3 linked regions of the Canis lupus familiaris genome follow. The protein of the gene in region 1 purifies or fractionates together with the protein of each later gene. This does not show direct contact. Links are inferred from orthologs where the notes say so. Each region holds a gene or a part of one and is shown in the gene's direction. Other genes may lie near its edges.

Region 1 (7,106 bases):
TAATTTAAACATAAACTAATGCCTTCCCTTGCCTACCTGTCTGAATGTTAAGTAAGAATATTCGATTTGATATCTCCAGTACCTGGTACAGTAACTATTTGTTGAATGAATACAGTTATGCTAACTTGTACTGAGTGCTTACTATGCCAGATACTTTTTTTCTTTAAGATTTTTTATTCATTTATTCATGAGAGACACAGAGAGAGGCAGAGACACAGGCAGAGGGAGAAGCAGGCTCCATGCAGGGAGCCCGACATGGGACTTGATCCCGGGACCCCAGGATCACACCCTGGGCCAAAGGCAGGCGCCAAACCACTGAGCCACCCAGGGATCCCCCAGATACTTTTTTTTTTTTTTTTTAAGATTTTATTTATTCATGAAAGATACACAGAGAGAGGCAGAGAAGCAGGCACCTCACAGGGAGCCCGATGTGGGACTCGATCCCTGGACTCTGGGATCACGCTGTGGTAATCAGATGCTCAGTGCCACCCTGGCACCCCTGCCAGATACTTTTTTGAGCACTTTATATTAGTCACTTCAGGGATCCCTGGGTGGCGCAGCGGTTTAGCGCCTGCCTTTGGCCCAGGGCGCGATCCTGGGGACCCGAGATTGAATCCCACGTCAGGCTCCCGGTGCATGGAGCCTGCGTCTCCCTCTGCCTATGTCTCTGCCTCTCTCTCTCTCTCTCTCTCTCTCTCTGTGACTATCATAAATAAATAAAAATTTAAAAAAAAGATTTTATTAGTCACTTCATTTTCACAACAATCTCTGAAATAAGTGGTTGTGTTGTTTCTACTTTACAGAGGAAACTGGAGTATAAAGAATTTAAATTGTTCAAATTGTACCATAAGAGGCAGAATCAAAATTCAAACCTTTGCAGTGATTTCTAAACTTAGAGTTGTTAATTTTTTATCTGTTGTAATCATACCTGTAACAATGTTACTGGATTGTGAAGGAAGTTTTACAGACTTTTTCTCCATACTTTTGAGTAAGAATAAAAAAATATTCTTTGGAGGGGGCTTGATAGTATCCTAGGAAGCAGTCTTTTTGCTTGTTCTTATGCCACCCAAGGTATATTGCTTTTAAGATACTAATAAAAAGTTTTTGGTGTTTCTAGATTTGGTGCAAGAGGTGGTGGTGGCCTTCCCCCAAAGAAATTTGGTAATCCTGGGGAGCGTTTACGTAAAAAGAAGTGGGATTTGAGTGAGCTCCCCAAGTTTGAGAAGAATTTTTATGTAGAACATCCAGAAGTGGCAAGACTGACTCCGGTAAGTTTGGGGGATTTACCTTTTTTCTATACGCAGTAATGAACCAAGTTAACATTAGGCAGACTTCACTGCTGTTAGATGTTTATTCTAGTGTAGTAGTTCCCTTAGATTCTTACTAAGACTACTGGTACTTGCATGAGGAAACAGTTTAAATATTTACCTAATCTATTGTTTGGTTCTCGTTTATTGGCTATGCTTCCCAATTTGTCGTATATGAGATTTTAACTATATGAGGTATCTTGTCTTTCACCTACATTAAAACATTGACATAATGTACTTGTTTTTTTAACCTTGTTGTGATTGTTTTGGATTCCACTCATTGAAATGTTCAAAAAAAGATAATGATGGAAAAAGCACTTGGTCCAAGTTCCACTGTTTATCCCTCATCCTAGTTCTGACCCTTGGGCAAATTTCTTTTAATATTTCTAAGTGTCTGTTTTCTCATGGGGAAAATAGAACTCTTCTCACATGCTTCATTAACTCAAAGTTGGGAGGATCTTTGCAAATTAATGAAGTTGAATGTATATGAAAGCAGTATTAGAAGTGTTAGATATTTTCCAGTGTAACTGTATAGTTAATTGTTCATCTTGATTGGAACATAAAGTGTTATATGTTTAGAGTAACTTATTTTTCTTACTTCGTTTTCTTCCATAGTATGAGGTTGATGAACTACGCCGAAAGAAAGAAATTACAGTGAGAGGGGGAGATGTTTGTCCTAAACCTGTGTTTGCCTTCCATCATGCTAACTTCCCACGTAAGTGTTCTTCAGTCCAGGATTGTAATTGTTAATTTTATTGAATGGTAAACATGGATAATGGGTTATTTAAAGGTTTTGATTCAGGCTTAGGATTTTATTGAAAGAGGCAAGTTGAAACCCTTCATAAAGGTAATAATATACTTCTTTAAAAATTTCAAGACTTTTAAGTAAATGCTGTATTGTTGCATAAGAGTTTTTTTATGCTTATGTTTTTTATTTTTAAGCTTTTTTTGAGTTTTTCATCTTCCCCCTAGAAGTTTTGCCTCTACCTTTTAGAAAACCATGAAATTGCTTTCTAGCTGGATATAACTTGGCAAATAATACGTGACCAACAACCATGTGCCCATGCTGTATTAGAGACTTTAGGGCAATAGTTTTTAAGTATTGAAGGGAAGAGTAGATAACTAGGGCAATAGTCCTCTGAGATAGCCAGCAGATCAGAGATTCAGTAACTAAAGAAAAAAACAGCACTTCTCTTGGAGATATGAAGCTGGGTAAATCTTTCCTTTGATGAGCTGAATGGATTTTTTTTAGAATTCTATTGGCTGTGTCCTTGTTTTACCTGAAAGCACTGACATTTGTTCTCTTACAGAATATGTAATGGATGTGTTGATGGATCAACACTTTACAGAACCAACTCCGATTCAGTGCCAGGGATTTCCTTTGGCTCTCAGTGGTCGAGATATGGTGGGCATTGCTCAGACTGGCTCTGGGAAGACTCTGGCGGTATGTACCGGCAAGGGAATGTTAACATTATGGTAACTTATTTTGCAGATTATCCCATTAATTTTTTTTTTTTTAAGATTTTATTTATTCATGAGAGAGAGTGAGGCAGACACACAGGCAGAGGGAGAAGCAAGCTTCCTGCAGGAACCTGATGTGGGTCTCTGATCCCAGGACCCCAGGATCATGACCTGAGCCCAAGGCTCAACTGCTGAGTCACCATTCATTCTTTAAAAATTCTAATTCAGCAGCTCCTGGGTGGCTCAGTCAGTTAAGTGTCTGCCTTTAGCTCAGGTCATGATCTCAGGGTCCTGGGATCAAGCTCCACATCAGGCTTGCTGCTCAGTGGGGAGCCTCCTTCTCCCTCGGCCCCTCCCCCTTCCATTCATGCTTTCTTGCTCACTCTCCCCCTCTCTCTCAAAATAAGTAAATAAAATATTTTTTAAAAATTCTAATTCAGATAGTGTAGGTAGTTTCAGCTTTCTTAGGTATGGGGAATGTGTGAGTACGTTGTGTTCAAATTTACATTGCACATACGTGTAACAGTTGAGAGTTCTGTTTTCATTTTTGTGGTTAGGCATTATCAATTAACTATGGTAACTTAAAATAATGGCTTACTTTTGGAATAAGACTGTCATTGTTTTCCCCCCTCCCTAGTATTTGCTGCCTGCAATTGTTCATATTAACCACCAGCCCTACTTGGAAAGAGGAGATGGCCCAATTGTAAGTGTATTTATAATTCTAAAAATAATCACAGTTTAATGGTAACTGTGTTTCAGGCATTGTGCTTTACATGTGTTTTAGATTTTATTCTCAAACCCACCCTCTTTTTCTGGAAGTGATGTCTCCATCTTACTGATAAATTTTGACACAGTGCTATTAAATGATTAGTCCACAAAGTCATAATAGCTGTTAAATGGCTGAGTTTGATTTTGAATAGTCTTACTCTTTTTTTTTTTTTTAAATAGTCTTACTCTTAACTGCTATGTGTGCTGCCTTCATCTATAGGCATTTACTCTGCAGTAAAGTCAGAATTCTTAATTATTCAATGATGGTGTGAGGGATAAGGAAGTATGAAAATGATATCCCTGCCATTTGTATGTAAGTCACATTTAGGATATGTATTCTTTGTGGTTAAGTAATACTTTTAAAATTTTTATAGGGCAGTATGATTTTCTGGTTTATTTTCACTTTTGCTATTTCCTGTAAAATGTGTGGAGTGGTTATCAAACATTTTTAATACATTCTTACCTGTTTTTTAAAAATTGAGGGGTGCCTGACTGCCTCAGTCAGTAGAATATGCAGCTCTTGATCTTGGGCTGTGAGTTGGGAGCCCCACGTTGGGTGTAGAGATTACTTTTAAAAAAATCTTTAAAAAAAATAATCGAGCTTGCAGCTTGGATTTGATAAGTCTTTACAAATAGGTACATTATTACTGTCTCAAAATAGTCACAAAAAACTTTGCACACATAACTTTGCAATGTGTGATATATTCCACATTGCTAGTTGAATTAGCTAATTGAATTAGTAATATTTCATGGATCTACACAGAACAGGATCTGTTGTTAATATTGTATATAATAACCTATTTCAACGAGTCTTCTAATTTTGTATTGTTTTGATTATAAGTCACTGTTTTTAACCTAATGTGTCTGGCTGAAAGCTTACACTAGAAGTCAGAAAAATGTCTACTTTGCTCTTTCCTTATTCATCTAGTTTTCTACTAATATTTAATTTAATTAATTTAATCGTTGGCTAATGTCACTTGTTCATTTTGTGAGAGTTGTTTACCTAGTTAAAACTAGGTAATACAATCTGTAAATCCACTTAAAAAGCACAAACTATAATGAATCCTATATCAAAAGTAAACCATCATTTCACATGCTAAATGTTTTCTATCACACTCCCATATGCTGTCTTAAACTGTCTTCCCCTACCCCCTCACATAATTTTTAAAGTACCAGATTAGACAATACAAAAAGAATTTAAATGACCTTTTTAATTTGATGGTGACTTAAACACGTGTGTTTGTTTCAGTGTCTAGTTCTGGCTCCTACCAGAGAGCTTGCCCAGCAAGTACAGCAGGTGGCTGATGACTATGGCAAATGTTCTAGATTGAAGAGTACTTGCATTTATGGAGGTGCTCCCAAAGGTCCCCAAATTCGAGACTTGGAGAGAGGTAATTTAAAATATATATATATCATGTAAGAATTAACAATTTTTCTCATCTTACCAATTTTTATGAATGAAGTTGGAGAGGAAAATAGTGGATTATTTTTGGAAAAAATCCGTAATTCAGCAGCTTAAAAATTCCCAGGTACAGTTAAACTGCTAATAAGGGAAAAGTTTTTACAGAGACCAACTTTGTGGAGATTTGATGATTATAAATAAATCTCTATATCTTGCTTTCCCAAGTATTGTGTTAAAATTTAACTAGTGTGCGGTGCCTGGGTGGCTCAGTCTATTAAGCATCTGCCTTCAGCTCAGGTCATGATCCCAGGATCCTGGGATGGAGCCCCACTTCTGGCTTCCTGCTTAGCAGGACGCCTGCTTTTCCCCTCTCTCTCTGCTTGTGCACATGCTTTGTCTCTCTCAAATAACTAAAATCTTTTTTTTTTTTTAATTTATTTTAAAAGATTTTGTTTATTTACTCATGAGAGACAGAGAGAGAGGCAGAGACACAGGCAGAGGGAAAAGCAGGCTCCAGGTCTCCAGGATCAGACCCCGGGCCAAAGGCGACACTAAACCGCTGAGCCACCTGGGCTGCCCAACTGAAATCTTTTTAAAAAATTTTAGTTAGTGCTCTCCAGTATTGAATGCAACCATCAGAGCTGGTGCTTCTTAGTTTGCTGAGGCTTGGACAGTGTATAAGGAATTCTTAGTTGGCTATATCTTTGGTTTTGTTTTACAGGTGTTGAGATCTGTATAGCTACTCCTGGGCGCCTGATAGATTTCCTGGAGTCAGGAAAGACAAATCTTCGCCGTTGTACTTACCTTGTACTGGATGAGGCTGACAGGATGCTTGATATGGGCTTTGAACCTCAGATCCGTAAAATTGTTGACCAAATCAGGGTGTGTAAAACTGATGATACACTGTCTTTATTCCCATTTCCTGTCACAGTTCCTTAGCCTAAAAGAAAGCCTTTCTTCTCCTGGTAGCCTGATAGGCAGACATTGATGTGGAGCGCAACCTGGCCAAAAGAAGTAAGACAGCTTGCAGAGGATTTCCTTCGTGATTACACCCAGATCAACGTGGGCAATCTGGAGTTGAGTGCCAACCACAACATCCTCCAGATTGTGGATGTCTGCATGGAAAGTGAAAAAGACCACAAGTAAGAGGGATTTTACTGTTTTGATAATGCTGTTAAACTTTTCCTGATAATCCTCCCAAAATTAAAGCATTGAAGAAGCCTGAAATTTTTTGAGGGCCAAAAAATGTTAAAAGCATTACTAGCTTACCAGCTATCCATTCTTTATCTCATTCTCCAGAATATTGTAGTTATAAGCGAGGTACTGGATTCTTAGAATTAAATCCCAGTTCAGATAGTTAACAGCTGTATAGAAGATAATGTGAAAAGAGTACTGTAGTTTTGAGGAATTAATATTGTATACATAGCTTTTACATAATGTGTGGGGAGATTTTATCTGAATGCATTTTTGCTGGTCTTGTTTTCAGGTTGATTCAGCTCATGGAGGAAATAATGGCTGAGAAAGAAAATAAGACAATAATATTTGTAGAGACAAAGAGACGCTGTGATGACCTCACTCGAAGGATGCGCAGAGATGGGTGAGTGCAGCACTGAGGTAATTAGCTTCAGGTTTTATATTTATAGTTTAGTAGGAATTTCTAAATTGGTATTATATATATTGTATATTTCATAATGCCCGTCATGCACCTTACTCTTTGGATGGACACAGTCATCTATTCATGTAGCCTAATAAACCTTCACAATTCTGTGTGATAGTTCTTCTTTTTAAAGTTTAGTTTCTCTTTTTTTTTAAAGCTTTCTGAAATATTGGTCATTTTTCTTCTGACAGTTGGCCAGCTATGTGTATCCATGGAGACAAGAGTCAACCTGAAAGAGATTGGGTACTTAATGGTGAGTTAAGAACTAAATATTGTCCATACTCTATTTTAGGGATGGGCAAACTTTCTGTAAAGGATCAAGAAGTAAATATTTTCTGCTTTACAGACGATAACGGTGTATCGTCACAGTCACAGAATTTCTGTCAGTCATTTGGTTCTCATTACGGCAAAAAAGAATGGACATAGGCAATATGTGAAGATCAGCTTGGTTGTATTGCAATAAAATAGTAAAAATAGTATTTCTAGATTTGATGCATAGGCCAGAGTTTGC
Region 2 (7,106 bases), on another chromosome or scaffold:
TCTGTAGGATAAGAAACAGATAACACTATATGCTTTTTTTTCTTTTTGCTATCTGCATTTACGTAAACTTTATTTAAGCTGACTTAAGTGTCTTGCCAGCAGTGTTGGAATCATCTGTAAATTGTTCCATGAATTTTCATCATGAACAGTGAATAGCCAAGAAGTGAATTAGAAATGTAGAGAACTGAGGGCCCCTGAGTGGCTCAGTTGGTTAAGCAGCCAACTTTTAATGTTAGCTCAAGTCTCAATCTCAAGAGTTGTGAGTTCAAGCCCCATCATGTTGAGCTCCTGCTAGGCATAGACCCTAGTTAGAAAAAAAAAAAAAAAAAAAATTGAGACCTGGATTTTAATACCATTTATACCTATTATATCACGTAAACCTAAATATTTACACTCTTGTAGACCTCTTTCCCCATTTTGTAAAGTGAGATCAAGTTGCTTAACTTTGTTTCTTCAGTTGAAAGAGGAAGATAGATAATACCTAACCCACAGGATTTGAGAACTAAATGAGTTAATAATGTAAAATACTGAGAACAGTGCTTTGGTACATGGTAAGCTCTCAGTAAATGTTAGCTATTATCATTGTTAATATTAATTTGTAATAGTAACTTACTACTAAAATTTTTAAGGGTTAGATGATCTGTAAAATCTTTCTGGTGGCACTAAATTTTACGAACCAGAAAGGGAAGGTGATTGTGGGGAAATGTTAGTATCAGCCCAAATCTCCACAGAAAGTCTTATTACCATTTAGGGGTGGGGGGGGTGAGAGGTGTTTGTTTTTGAGTATTGTTGATAACTGATGTTACATTAGTTTCAGGTGTACAACATAGTGATTCAACAACTCTATACATTATGCTGTGCTTCCCACAAGTGTAACTGCCATCCGTCACCATATAACACTTTTACAATACAATTGACTATATTCTTTGGGGTGTACCTTTCACCCTTGTGATTTATTCATTCAATAACTGGAAGCCTGTATCTCCCACTCCCCTTCACCCATTTTTGCCTGTCTCCTCACCCTCTCCCTTCTTAGCCATTGTTTATAACTCAGGTTTGTCAGCAGGCAAGACCTGAAGTCATAGGTATGGGTAATAACATTAAGAATTCTTTTTTTCATCCTCCTTCACTCTTCAGACAAAAATACTATCAAGCTGTAAGTGGTAAACCACTGCTCAAGCAGTTAAAAGGGTCTTGTCCAGAGAGTCTTTGTGGTAAATACAAAACATTTTTTGTTAATTATAAAAGGGTGAGGGAAGGAGAGCTCTATAAACCTGATTATCTCTCTGCAAAGATTTTGTCAAACAGACATGTATATACAAGAGTGGATGGTTATTTTCTGCTTTTCTTCACTTAGACTTGAAACCCATATGACACCTGAGATGTTCCGAACACCATTACACGAAATTGCTTTGAGCATAAAACTTCTGCGTCTGGGAGGAATTGGCCAGTTTCTGGCCAAGGCGATTGAACCTCCACCTTTGGATGCTGTGATCGAAGCAGAGCATACCCTTAGAGGTACCTATAAACACAGAACCTACCTAACACGTGTTAATTATGCCATTTGTCTTGTCCTGGCAACTAACATGTAACAGATGAATCAAGATACATTTGGCAGGCTGTGGTAAGACTTCCAGTGCTACCTTATGTATTTAGTGTGGTCAGTTTTATAAAATGAGCAACATGGGGTAAGAAAGGAGTAACATGAGTCTTCTTTTGGTAAAAAAAAAAAAGCAAAAAAAAACCCACAAACCTCTTCACCAGTATTTAACAATTAGAATATGAATTACTCACTATCTAGTATTTTATGTGTATCTGTTAAAATCTCTATTTGTATTTTCTAATCATGTCATAGAAGTGGTGTAGTATCATGGGAAAAACTAAGAACATTGGCCAAGGGAATCTGATTTTGAATCCAATACTCATCTGCTATATGAACTTTATTTAGACTTTGGCTCTTCGCATCTCATTTCTCTCTAAAAATTACCTGTAGATGGCATGAGACTTGTTTAGGGCATATGTACTTATGCTGTTATTTTAGTTTTTATTTTATCTATAGAGTTTGCATGGGCTGTATTCAAGCTTTACAGCTTACAGGACCTAATTCTAGTACCTTCTCCCTATTAGGTGCTCCAGAATTTGGTTTTGTTCTGTTTTTGAGTAAAGAGAATTATTGGCTATGGGCATGGTGCTGGCAGTTGACTTGACAAATATTAAAAACTCAATTAACCTTAAATTTTTCATCTTTGCCTCAGTTAAAGGAGTGTTCATTACTGTTTCTGCTCATAAAGAAATATTTCCCCACAGAACTTGATGCGTTAGATGCCAATGATGAGTTGACTCCTCTGGGACGAATCCTGGCTAAACTCCCCATTGAGCCTCGTTTTGGCAAAATGATGATAATGGGATGTATTTTCTAGTAAGTGCTTTGTTTTATTGCTGATACTTAAATGGTAGAAAAACAATTTCAGGATCTTATTCCCCTTGCCATAAAAAACAGGATGGGCTCAGAAGAAAAAATTAAATTCTTAGAAGTGGCATACTTCAGATATTAAGCAAAGTATGAAATGAGAATGCATGATACCAGTAGATGGGTACCAGGGCTCAGCTTGTTGGGGGAAAGAGCACAAGTTTCTCAAAAGGGAAGCACAGTTCCTCTGAGGAGCGTAAGTGGTTGTCTTTAAAAGAGAAATGGAACTAGGAAAACAGGTATACTTTATCAGGAAATTTTGAAGATTAATTAAGAGAGTTGAGAAGATGGGGAAGAGAATAAGGAAAGGAAAAATAAAATACTTGGTCATAATTTATGGTAAATATTCATCCATTAATATTAGAGCTCCTTCATTTTTTTCTCTTTCTGCTTCTGGAGGGAGCAACTGTAAAAGTTCTTTGTTAAGCCAGTCTTGGTGCTGATAAAGCAGTATCATAGCCAGTAAAGACTGACCCACAGTGACAGTATGGCTCGTGAACTGCTGGAAAGAAAGTATGAGGCTGAATTCTCCTGTCTGTTTCAGTGTGGGAGACGCCGTCTGTACCATCTCTGCTGCAACCTGCTTTCCGGAGCCTTTCATTAGTGAAGGAAAGCGACTGGGTTATATTCATCGAAATTTTGCTGGAAACAGATTTTCTGATCATGTGGCCCTTTTATCGGTCTTCCAGGCTTGGGATGATGCTAGGTATGCATTTGAAAGCAGAAAGTTATAAAGCTGTGAGAACTCTCTTTAGTTTCTAATGTGTTTTGGGGCTTTGAGAATGACTCTTAAAAAAAATGACTCTTACCTATTTTAGAATGGGTGGAGAAGAAGCAGAGATACGTTTTTGTGAGCACAAGAGACTCAATATGGCTACACTAAGAATGACCTGGGAAGCCAAAGTTCAGCTCAAAGAGATTCTGATTAATTCTGGATTTCCAGAAGGTATGACTCTCAGATTCTAAGGATCTATCTAAAGTGACATTTATGTAGCATGTGCACGTTGACAGTGCAGTGTCTTTTAGCTTCAGACTTTAGACCCTGTGTTCGTTGAATAACCTCAAATAGTGTTTTGTCAAGTGATTGATCATTCTGCCCACATTTGTGTTTAGACATGAAATTTACCATGTTAAATTTTAAGTGCCTTTAAGTGTGCTGGAGAGTAAGGAGGCTTTGATATTTGATGGAGAGAGAGTAATTTAGCTGTTTATTTCTTATATTAGTTGAGCTTTTAATCTTTTGTTCTCCAACTATATTAAAAGAGCGTCATTTCCTAAAGTTGGGAATTGAAGCACACAACTGGACATAGCTGTATTATAGTTGAGAGACAGAGAACATAGTTGGGCAAGATGGCAAATTTCAAAAGGATATAATCTAAGTAACTAGACAAATGTTTTCCTCTGTTGTAAATGGACTAAATTTGTAATTTTTTAAGTCAAAATCAAAGGAAAAAAGGAAGAACATATCTTATATGATAGAATCCTCACAATAATCCCAAGATACAGATATTACTCTGTTTTATAGAAGAGGAAACACAGAGGTTTAAATTACTTGTCTAAACTCATTCAGTTAAGTGATGAGACTAGAACTTAGGTTTGTCCAGCACAGAATATATCCATGTTCTTAGTGGTCACTGTCATGCTTCTCAACCATGAGGAAGTACTTCTAAAGAGCATAGTGTGGGTGGAAACATCAGCCCTCATTCCAGTGGGCTCCCCTTGAACTGTCATTCTGTCTTTAAAAAAAACAGCTACTGAGGAACAGTAGATGTTCCACTTTACTCACCTGTTAGGTCTGGCTCACTTTTAGCAAGTAGATGATAACCTGAGTGAGGAGTTGGCTTTTGTCTTTAAGTAAACACTCAACTACTCAACTCTTATGGTTGAGTCTATAAGAGAATGTAAGTATTTTAGTTTTTTGTTGTGGAGACTCAGAATTTCTCCTTGAACTTAAAATATGGGTGCAAAAGTTCTGAGAAGACAGGAAATCTGAAAAAAGAGGTGGGAAGGAGTCAGTCCTAATTTTCTTAAGTTTACATGCAATCCGAGGATTAGCCAGATAATCTGATATTTTTACCCCATTCCTCTTAACAGATTGCTTGTTGACCCAAGTGTTTACTAACACTGGACCAGATAATAATTTGGATGTTGTTATCTCTCTTCTGGCTTTTGGTGTGTACCCTAATGTGTGCTATCATAAGGAAAAAAGAAAGATTCTCACCACTGAAGGGCGTAATGCCCTTATCCACAAGTCGTCTGTTAATTGTCCTTTTAGCAGCCAAGACATGAAGTACCCATCTCCCTTCTTTGTATTTGGTGAAAAGGTAAGAAAAGATTAGTTTAGAAAAATTTGCATTGAGGGGCGCCTGCGTGGGGCTCAGTATGTTAAGTATCCAATTCTTGATTTCAGCTCAGGTCATGATCTCAGGGCTCTGTGTCGGGCTCTGTGCTGAGCATGGAGCCTGCTTGAGATTCTTTGCCTTTCCCTCTGCCCAGCACACTCTTCCTCTCTCTCCCCCAACCTCAAAAAAAAGAAAAATTTACATTAGAAATCTACATTGTCATTACTTATTAATGCGCGGTGGGAATGTGAGTTTTTATTTTTAAAGCATAATTCAATAAATTATATGGCATTTGACAACCTGGAATGTCATCTGTTTCCTCTTGCCTCCTTTTCCATCTGCAGATTCGAACCCGAGCCATCTCTGCTAAGGGCATGACCTTAGTCACTCCCTTGCAGTTGCTTCTCTTTGCCTCCAAGAAGGTCCAGTCTGATGGGCAGATCGTGCTCGTAGATGACTGGTATGGATTTTCAGATGTGAACTTCAAACCACATTCTTAGAATTGAGGTGTAATGGGATTTAGCTGCTAATCTAACTTTATTTGCGGAATAAACATGACAAAATTTCATGGCAGAAATGAAGTGTTTTATAACATTGTCTCTTCTTGGAGAGTAGTGGTATATCTTGGTAGTACAGTTCATACTTGATAGTAAGTCATACCAGTGGAAGCAATTGCATAGGCATTGAAGCTACATCTGCCCCACATGAATATTACCCTAGGGAATTGGAATCTACTTGAAACTTGGGTACCTTTTCATGTACTCTGTATGTTGGTTAGAGACTACTGGTAAACATGTAGTAAGCACTTGACAAAAAGGGAGTAGATCTTAGTTGACCAGTCAGTAGGCTCAGTCATATTCTTGACAACTCCAGCAATGTGAGTCTCTTTCATTCTTTTATTGGAAACTGAATGATCTATATTGCTTACAATATTTTGCTGGATAGACTTCTTGGTTTACAATACCTGCCAGTAGCCAGCAGTGGATCTTAAAAACTGTTACCATTCTTCATACCTGTGTTTGCCTAAGTAGGGTTCATTGCAGGAGTTGAAAGTATTGGTACTTAGTAAGAAGTTTAATTTATTCCATCACTTAACCATGTGTGAAATTGAGAGACAGTAGTCTTTGCTATATATACCCTTCTTGTACCTTATCATTTTTCTTTGCTTTAGGATCAGACTGCAAATATCTCATGAAGCTGCTGCCTGTATCACTGCTCTCCGGGCAGCCATGGAAGCTCTGGTTGTTGAAGTAACCAAACAGCCTAATATCATCAGCCAGTTGGACCCTGTTAATGAACATATGCTAAACATGATTCGCCAAATCTCTAGGCCCTCAGCTGCTGGTATCAACCTCATGATTGGCAGTACACGGTGAGTACCACAGTAACATCTCTTTGAACCAAGCAGAAGACAGTAATCTTACACTGGCCTAAAATTCACAGTTAGCTAATAGAGGCCTTGTTTATTTACGTTAAAATTCTAGACAAACACTGAATATGAGATTTAATGCGGGTTAACACATTCAGAAAAAAGGGTGTTACTAATTTTTGTCTGTGTTAATAGTATATTGTATCAGTGCATGTCAGAGAAAGTCCAGGGTCGGTCCCATGACAGGAAAGTGACAGAGCCCAAACCATTCTCTTTCCACGGTACTCTTTTGCTTTCTCCAATGAAAAAATGTTGATTGAGGGGTTAAATCGGAGCTTCTTCAAATGAAAAGCCTCAAGGTTCATCTTAGTAGGGGAATGCAAGAATGCAAATATCTTAAGTGTGAAATTTCTCTTAATTCTTAAAATGTCTTATTTGGTTGACTTTTTCCACCTTTTTAATCTTTCTTTGCTTACAACTTTTTATTTGGAAATATTTGATATCTGCCGAGAAGGCAGAAGAGTAGTACAGTGAACACCAATAAAGTCTTAGAACCTAAACTCACTAATTGTCAGCATTCTGTGACACCTGCTTTTATACATTTGTGTGTGCACACACCTACTTTTGCTTAATCATTTGTGACTAAGTTGCAGAGCTTAGGACATTTTACATCAGTATACTTCATGCATCTTTTAAGCACATAGCAATACCATGATCACACCCCAAAATTTTAAATATTAACCTATCTAATATTAGAAACATACTAAAATTTTTCTAATCATCCAAGAATAATTCTTTGATCTTCCTTTCAAGGATCATTACTGCATTTGGTTATAAACTGTTAATAATTTTATTATATAGAACTGTGTCCTTTTTGAATTCTGAGTCCCATTTTGCTATAACTAGTTTACTTTTTAAAATTTAT
Region 3 (7,106 bases), on another chromosome or scaffold:
AGCGGTTTCTGTGCATCCTGGATGGAAGTAAGCCATTCATTTGAAATGTGAAATGAAACAGAGTAAGCTAGCACACTTCTTCCCCATGATGTGAAATATTTTCCTTGTGCCTTTGGAGAGGTTAAAGAAAACTTATATCTGGCTAGGTGTCCTTTTAAAAGTTTAATTTTTAAAGGTTTCTATGTGGACTGCAAAAAAGGACAAAATCATTGTTCATTATTCCAAATGGCATAGACTCATTTACAGGGATGACATTATAGTTTTTATCTAGTATAGCCGCTATGATTAACGGGTTTTAAGTGACATTTTCCCTTGGGGGATGAGGCTTTCCCAGAAAAAATCCGCTTAAGTTCTTCATTAGGAAGGTTAAAGTCAATACTGAAAGACTTCTTATGGGAATAAATGGCTTTGATTTTTCTCTCTAGAAACCTAGCTCTGTCCGCATTGATCAACTGGATCGTGAACAGTTCAACCCTGATGTGATTACCTTTCCGATTATCGTCCACTTTGGGATACGCCCTGCACAGTTGAGTTATGCAGGAGACCCACAGTAAGATATTTCTCGGTGTTTGTCTTAGCCAATTTCACCTTCTACTAACAGCTGAATTAGCAGGGGAATACCCTTGAGTGGATATTTTATTAAAAAATTAAGACCGGAAATGAGCCATGATTCCAAATTTAGGTTACCAAATGAAACAAGTTTTAGTAGCTCCTGAAAAATTATTTTCTCTTTCGATTTGACTGCAGGAAATTATTACTCATTAGATTATCCTTGGCAATTTTGGTCAACATGAGTCCCATATATTTTTAACCTTTAAGGAACTTTTCCTTCGTTCATCATTATAATATTTATTGTTATTATTATTTATTTTTTCAGTGCTCTCTAGAGGAAAGTAGCACCATGTTGATTCCTAGCACTGCTGGATTTATGCAGAATTCTATTTTGGGAGGCATCTTAATAAGAGCTCAAGATCCCATGCAAAGTCAAGGGTTGTGTTGTAAGGAGAAGGCATGACTTCTGACACTTAGAGTTGATGTTACTTTGCACATTTGAGTTTTTCCAACTTCTTGTTAGTGTTTTTCTGGGAGAAGATGAGGATGTGTGGGAATGGAAATAGTACCATTATATTCTTCAGAAGTGTTTGGATTTCCTACCTCGTTAAACAAACAAACAGCTTCTTGACTTAATTTTTTTTTTTAAGGATTCAAAATGGGAGAAAAGGGCATGGGAGATTTTCAATTCATAAATACATTTCTGGCTGATACATTAGAAGAGGCTAAAGGGTTTTGTTCTTTTTTTCCCCCCTTTGGATAAAAGTATGAAGCAGTGAACCAGGCACTGTGTAAGTACTTCTTTCTTTCCTCCATTCTCTAAAAAATTGTTACCAAAAAGGAGAGACCCAGCTAAGGCCAAGAAAGGAGCAGTTTTAATAGGGACAGAAAATTCATTGAAAGTCCCTTCTTGTCACAAATGTTAGTAGAATGTGATAGGCTCTCGTGGATTCTCAGGTGGCAGGACTATGTGCTGCTGCAGGACTGCATTTCTCTTCATTCCCAGGATGTTTTAACAAGATCCTTTAGTCTGATCCAGCTTATCACATATTTGTGATATGCTGCAGCAAATATGCTTATTTTTGTCATGGTAAATACAAATGGATGCACACCATTTGTCTTTTTCCTTCTCCAGTGGAGAAACGGATACAGCTGTAGAGCTCGGGTATTGACACAAGTGGGATTCTCTTTTCTAATACTCTTCAACTTCTGTTTTCAATGTAGGCAGTTCAGAGACCAACAGTCCTTGTTAAGTAAGAGGTCTTTCTTTCAATAACATCAGAAAGTACATATTTAAATAAAATAGGTAATGATGAGAAATAATACGTGTTTCTGTTGGTTTTTATGTGTCTATGAATTCTTTCCACAGAGATTCGGGCACTTATAGGGTACCTCATTTTCAACACAGACTTAAAATTATCAACTTAACCACTAGGTTCCAGATGACTCTCGGTCATCCTGCCCCACTGTCCCCAGATCATATGCTTCCTTAGAATGAAGGTTTGTTGCCATTAAGGATATCTAAAGAATGTAATTTATGATTCAGCAGGCCTATTAAAACAGCTGGTTTTATTGCATTTCAGATTCTCCTACTTTTTTTCTGAGATGTCTGTCTGTCCTTTTCCTTAGGTACCAGAAACTGTGGAAGAGTTATGTGAAACTTCGCCACCTCCTAGCAAATAGTCCCAAAGTTAAACAAACTGACAAACAGAAGCTGGCACAAAGAGAGGTTGGTATCAAATCCTGTTCTTCTGGGATTAATGTTGATGTGTTTCATGTTTATTTCAAGATTATTGCATTATACCATACTTCTAGAATAAAATGGAAAAACACTTTTAAAAATACACTTTTCTTTCCTCACATTAGTATACAGATTGATATTTTTTTCATCTTTTAGTATCTAGAGGAGCATTATCACCACCACCACCACCACCACACCAAAAAAGGCCTCTTTCTTAATGGATTCCTACCATTGGGAATAAATATATCTTATAGAGATTTTTCAAATTTTAAAATTGCTGGGTCAACCTTTTATTGTTAATTAGACTGTACATAACACAACTTGGGTCTTGCTCAAATTTCTTGTACTTAAGGTCGTAAAAGATTGCCTTTCATATGTCTTCCATATGTCTGTTAGTTTAGTAGGGTAAACTTCTTTCATAAGGTTTTATGTCCCAAAGTCCATATTTTTTACTAATGGGTAGTATTATCCCTGTACTCCAGGATCATTTTTAAGAATAAATCAATTCAGTATCAACATAAATTTTGTTTCATTGAGGTTTTATTTTGCTTTGGGCAGTGTTAGAGAGCAAGGCTTTGAAGCTGGGAAAAGTGTTTGAATTCTGGTCCAGTCACTTCCTGTGACTTGAGCCAGATAGCTTCATTATAAAGAGAGAACTAGATTAAGGGAGGATGACTGAAATTTGTTTCTGTTGGTGCATCTGGGAAAAAAAGGTGGTTGTGTGGACTTCTGAAATACTCCGTTTAACTTTCCTCCGATGGTGTTTGATCTGTAGTAGGCATTTAATGAGGCAGGTGGTGTGATAGTTCCTGTTGTTATGAACTCTTATGAGATTTTTATTGAATAAGTGTACAAATATAAAATTATTTTTATAATTAATTATTTGAAGGGAGGTAAAAGGGAAGAGTCAGCTCCTTTATATCTTGCAGAAGTTTTAAATCATTGTCTTTTTTAAATAAAAAGGTACCCTTGCTGCAAGAGGTTTTGTAAGGGTTTTGCAAATGAGAAGACAGCTTTTAGAATTATGTGGGTTGCAGATTAGTTTACTGATTGTCTTTCTTAGATGTAAATGCTTAACATAAGGCTTGATATAAATATAATTTTTACATGCTGATTTTAAGTCTCAAACATCACATGTTGTTTCTTTTATCAGCAAAGGGGCATTTTTTGTTTGAACTCACCAGAATGGTCGATTTGGTTTAGATTTTTTCATATCTAGGTACCAGGAAAGGCTGGCATATACCCAAGGCTTTGAGCATCCTGGCCTTCATTTCAAATAAAATATTATAATTTAACATGAAGAGGTTTGAATACCTGAATGTAAGGGTGATATTGAATGAATCCAGCTTATTTTCCAATGCTTGATGTTTGGCTTAATATTGCTTTACAGCTGTCAGTTTACTCATCATAATGAGTTCTTTTCTAGGAAGCACTCCAAAAAATACGACAGAAGAATACAATGAGGCGAGAAGTAACAGTGGAGCTAAGTAGTCAAGGATTTTGGAAAACTGGCATCCGTTCTGATGTCTGTCAGGTGATGACGCCTCTAAGAACACATTTATACCTATATATCTCTTTAAAAGGCATCTGCCACTGAAGTTTTCCTAATGCGGATGAGATGAGTTGCTACAGAACATACAATCTTGTAGCTAAATGGAACACCAACCATAAATTGTTTTCTATTGTTTGGGTTTTGTTTTTGTGTCAGTTTTCATCTTGTTTAGCTGTGTGTGTGTGTGCGTGTGTGTGCCCCTGCATGAATGCATGCATACATGTGCACGGTGGTAGGATGAGTTGGGGGGCAGTTACTTAGTAATGCTAAATTCTGTCTCTGCCTGTTGAGTGAAGGCAAGTGTGTTTTTCAAATGCATCTGCCTGTGTGCAATGCGTGTGGGCGCTTGTCAAAAGAGCGATTCCAGCAGCTGTACAGGCAGACTCCTGAAGATGATGTGTACAGACTTTCCAGACTGATGAGTCAAACTTACATTGCAGAGAACTGAAGGCATTAATGAACAAAATCAGTATGAATTTCATATTTGAGTCAAATGATAACAGATTTTTTCCTTAGATGAACTAATAGAGGAACATTTCAACTATATATAACTCTCACTAATAACTATTTTTGTTTTCCCTATGAGTGGAATTTATAATATATTAGAGACCCCTAAAACCCAACATATTCTCTGACTCTTCACTCAATTCTCTTGTTATGATTGATACTGGTTGTGCTCCATGGGAATTATAGTAAAGGCGAGGAGGTCACCCAGGCAGGGGTCAGGTCAGGTAGTGTAGTGTGCCATGTTCAGCCTTTGGGAAGAATGCTTACAGGCTTCCACTCACTCTTGTTTTGTGTAGCATGTGTTTGGTAATACGTTCAAGCAGTCTTGGGTATTTATTTCATCATAATGAGGTATTTTTTCTTTAAGTCAGTGTTGGCATTTAATTATTATATTGAACAGTGGGATTTAATCTTATTATTAAAGGTACTGCTAGGTGATTCATTTACATTGTGATTCCAGAGCTATATATTTTTGTGTTAAGATGGACTACTGTTGATGCCATGTTACTAGATGGAGAATTAATTCTCTATAGTGGCAGCCAGCTGTATCTACCAAGTTGTCAGTTATTTTGCTAACTGACCAATTTTTTTTTTTTAATTTTTTACTCTAAGTATTCAGAAATGAGTATCTTCTGCTGATTTTTTCTTAGGACCTTGACGCTATATTATCTAATTTTTATTTTCCTCCAAAACAAACATAATGTCATCCTAAGGTAGACAGCATAAGAATGATGAGCAGAGGGTGCCTGGGTGGCTCAGTTAAGCCTCTGCCTTTGGCTCAGGTCATGATTCCCAGGATCCCTGCTCAGTGAGGGGCCTGCTTCTCCCTCTCCTTCTGCCCCTCCCTTCTGCTTGTGATCTCTCTCTCTCTCTCTCATCTTTCTCTTTCCTTCTCAAATAAATAAATAAAATCTTAAAACAAAACCATGAGCAGAATGTTCAACAATCTGCTCAAAATCTGGTCCTCTCAATGATAAGTCAGAGTTGATAGAGACATCATAAAATTGTAGAGCATTATTAACTGGAAGGGACCTTAGAGATCTTTCAGCTCAGTGAATTTTAAACTTGTGTTTTTGGTTAACTTTGAACTTTTTTTTAAAAACAAAATTCTGTAGAGCCCTAATTTGTAAAAAGATAAAAAAAAATAACTGATTGGTGGGTGGTGGGTATGGAGGGAGTTCTCCCGTTGTACTTGATTTCCACCCTGTGTAGCAGGCCCTGAGGCAGTTCTGTTCCACTGAACACAATTTTGTTTAAAGCATCGAGCCCGCTTTCCTCTCTTTTGGCGACATGCATGCATACGGGTGCAGAATCATCTGTTCCATTGCAGTTCTGTGTTCTTCAGCTGTGGACACAAATATCTTACGCTGACTTCTTAGATGAGAAGCAGCCAGAGGACGAGGTTATCAGATCTACATGTATTATATTTTACATTCTGTTTGGAGACTGGCTGGCAAAAACACTCAGTTCCTTTGACTAAATGGTCAGAGAAATTGGATCCTGATTAAAACTCCTGCCAAGGTGAATACTCCTTGATCTAATAATAGTCCCTTCCTCTGTAGGACTCCCCCTCTTCCAAAGACAACTGCCATCTGTTTAGAAGCCATGTTTCCAGTTTCCAATCCTCCTATTTTTTACCAGTAATGTTGGCTTTATTTAATTTCTTATCCTGGAATAAATGTTTCTTTTTTGTATGTGTTCCTCAAATAAGATGGCACCTGGCATGTAATAATGCAGTTTAAAACCTTCAAAATAAAGGCATTTAGTATGTTTGGTATTGAAGGAGAAGAATCTGAGAAATAATAGTTAAATAATAATCTTGAATAATCTTTTTTTTTTTTTTTTTTTTAAATTTATGATAGTCACAGAGAGAGAGAGAGAGAGGCAGAGACACAGGCAGAGGGAGAAGCAGGCTCCATGCACCGGGAGCCCGATGTGGGATTCGATCCCGGGTCTCCAGGATCGCGCCCTGGGCCAAAGGCAGGCGCCAAACCGCTGCGCCACCCAGGGATCCCTCTTGAATAATCTTAAAGCCTGTAACAGACTCGTACTTAATTTTAAGGAAAAAAAAGCACTTCTCTAAAATCTTCAGGGGTGGGGATAGGGGAGGGATTCTCTATTTGCTAACTCATTGATACAGAACCTACTGTTCATTGGTAATAATTGCCAGTAGGTTGCTGGCAAAAGCCTTGTGATGTTACCTGGCTGCTGCTGGAGATAAAACTTGTTTTGATAAATCTAAGGTAGAGAAACCTAAGTACCAGCCTCTTCTTCTAGAAGTATAATTTCCCAACCAGAGAAGTTATTAGGGTTTTTATGTGGTTAGAAAATTCTACCTGATGCCCCAACCAATGTTAGGAGGATGGAAATCCAGGGCTGGGCCTGGAACCTGTAATTACACGTGAACTAAATGCAGAACTTGAAACTGTATAGAGACAAAACTATTGAAAGGTTTTTTTCTGTGTTGCTGTTTATTAGAGTGACTTCTAGGAAATACGGGGGCCAAAAGCAAGAATTAAAACCTGAAACTGGGGCAGCCCCGGTGGCTCAGCGGTTTAGCGCCTTTGGCCCAGGGCCTGATTGGAGACCCAGGATCAAGTCCCGCGTCAGTCTCCCTGCATGGAGCCTGCTTCTCCCTCTGCCTGTGTCTCTGCCTCTCTCTCTCTCTCTCTCTCTCTCTCTCTCTCTCTCTCGCTGTGTGTGTGTGTGTGTGTGTCTCATGAATAAATAAATAAGATCTTTAAAAATATATAT

The links.
Region 2: the proteins of DDX17 (region 1) and DHX9 fractionate together in Homo sapiens (co-fractionation; 3 studies listed by BioGRID and IntAct, with this or other methods). This does not show direct contact. The link is inferred for Canis lupus familiaris from reciprocal best matches to the Homo sapiens genes DDX17 and DHX9.
Region 3: the proteins of DDX17 (region 1) and DROSHA purify together in Homo sapiens (co-immunoprecipitation; 3 studies listed by IntAct, with this or other methods). This does not show direct contact. The link is inferred for Canis lupus familiaris from reciprocal best matches to the Homo sapiens genes DDX17 and DROSHA.

Annotation. Positions count from the first base shown.
Region 1 is NC_049231.1:27,287,205-27,294,310, forward strand, and holds part of DDX17 (probable ATP-dependent RNA helicase DDX17), read left to right. Parts: intron 1-1,117; coding exon 1,118-1,268; intron 1,269-1,922; coding exon 1,923-2,022; intron 2,023-2,617; coding exon 2,618-2,751; intron 2,752-3,405; coding exon 3,406-3,471; intron 3,472-4,785; coding exon 4,786-4,927; intron 4,928-5,659; coding exon 5,660-5,820; intron 5,821-5,907; coding exon 5,908-6,080; intron 6,081-6,424; coding exon 6,425-6,535; intron 6,536-6,786; coding exon 6,787-6,848; intron 6,849-7,106. UniProt on the Homo sapiens protein: As an RNA helicase, unwinds RNA and alters RNA structures through ATP binding and hydrolysis.
Region 2 is NC_049228.1:16,162,669-16,169,774, forward strand, and holds part of DHX9 (ATP-dependent RNA helicase A), read left to right. Parts: intron 1-1,357; coding exon 1,358-1,518; intron 1,519-2,307; coding exon 2,308-2,419; intron 2,420-3,014; coding exon 3,015-3,176; intron 3,177-3,288; coding exon 3,289-3,416; intron 3,417-4,564; coding exon 4,565-4,794; intron 4,795-5,156; coding exon 5,157-5,272; intron 5,273-5,983; coding exon 5,984-6,184; intron 6,185-7,106. UniProt on the Homo sapiens protein: Multifunctional ATP-dependent nucleic acid helicase that unwinds DNA and RNA in a 3' to 5' direction and that plays important roles in many processes, such as DNA replication, transcriptional activation, post-transcriptional RNA regulation, mRNA translation and RNA-mediated gene silencing.
Region 3 is NC_049225.1:76,746,543-76,753,648, forward strand, and holds part of DROSHA (ribonuclease 3), read left to right. Parts: intron 1-425; coding exon 426-550; intron 551-2,181; coding exon 2,182-2,281; intron 2,282-3,719; coding exon 3,720-3,827; intron 3,828-7,106. UniProt on the Homo sapiens protein: Ribonuclease III double-stranded (ds) RNA-specific endoribonuclease that is involved in the initial step of microRNA (miRNA) biogenesis.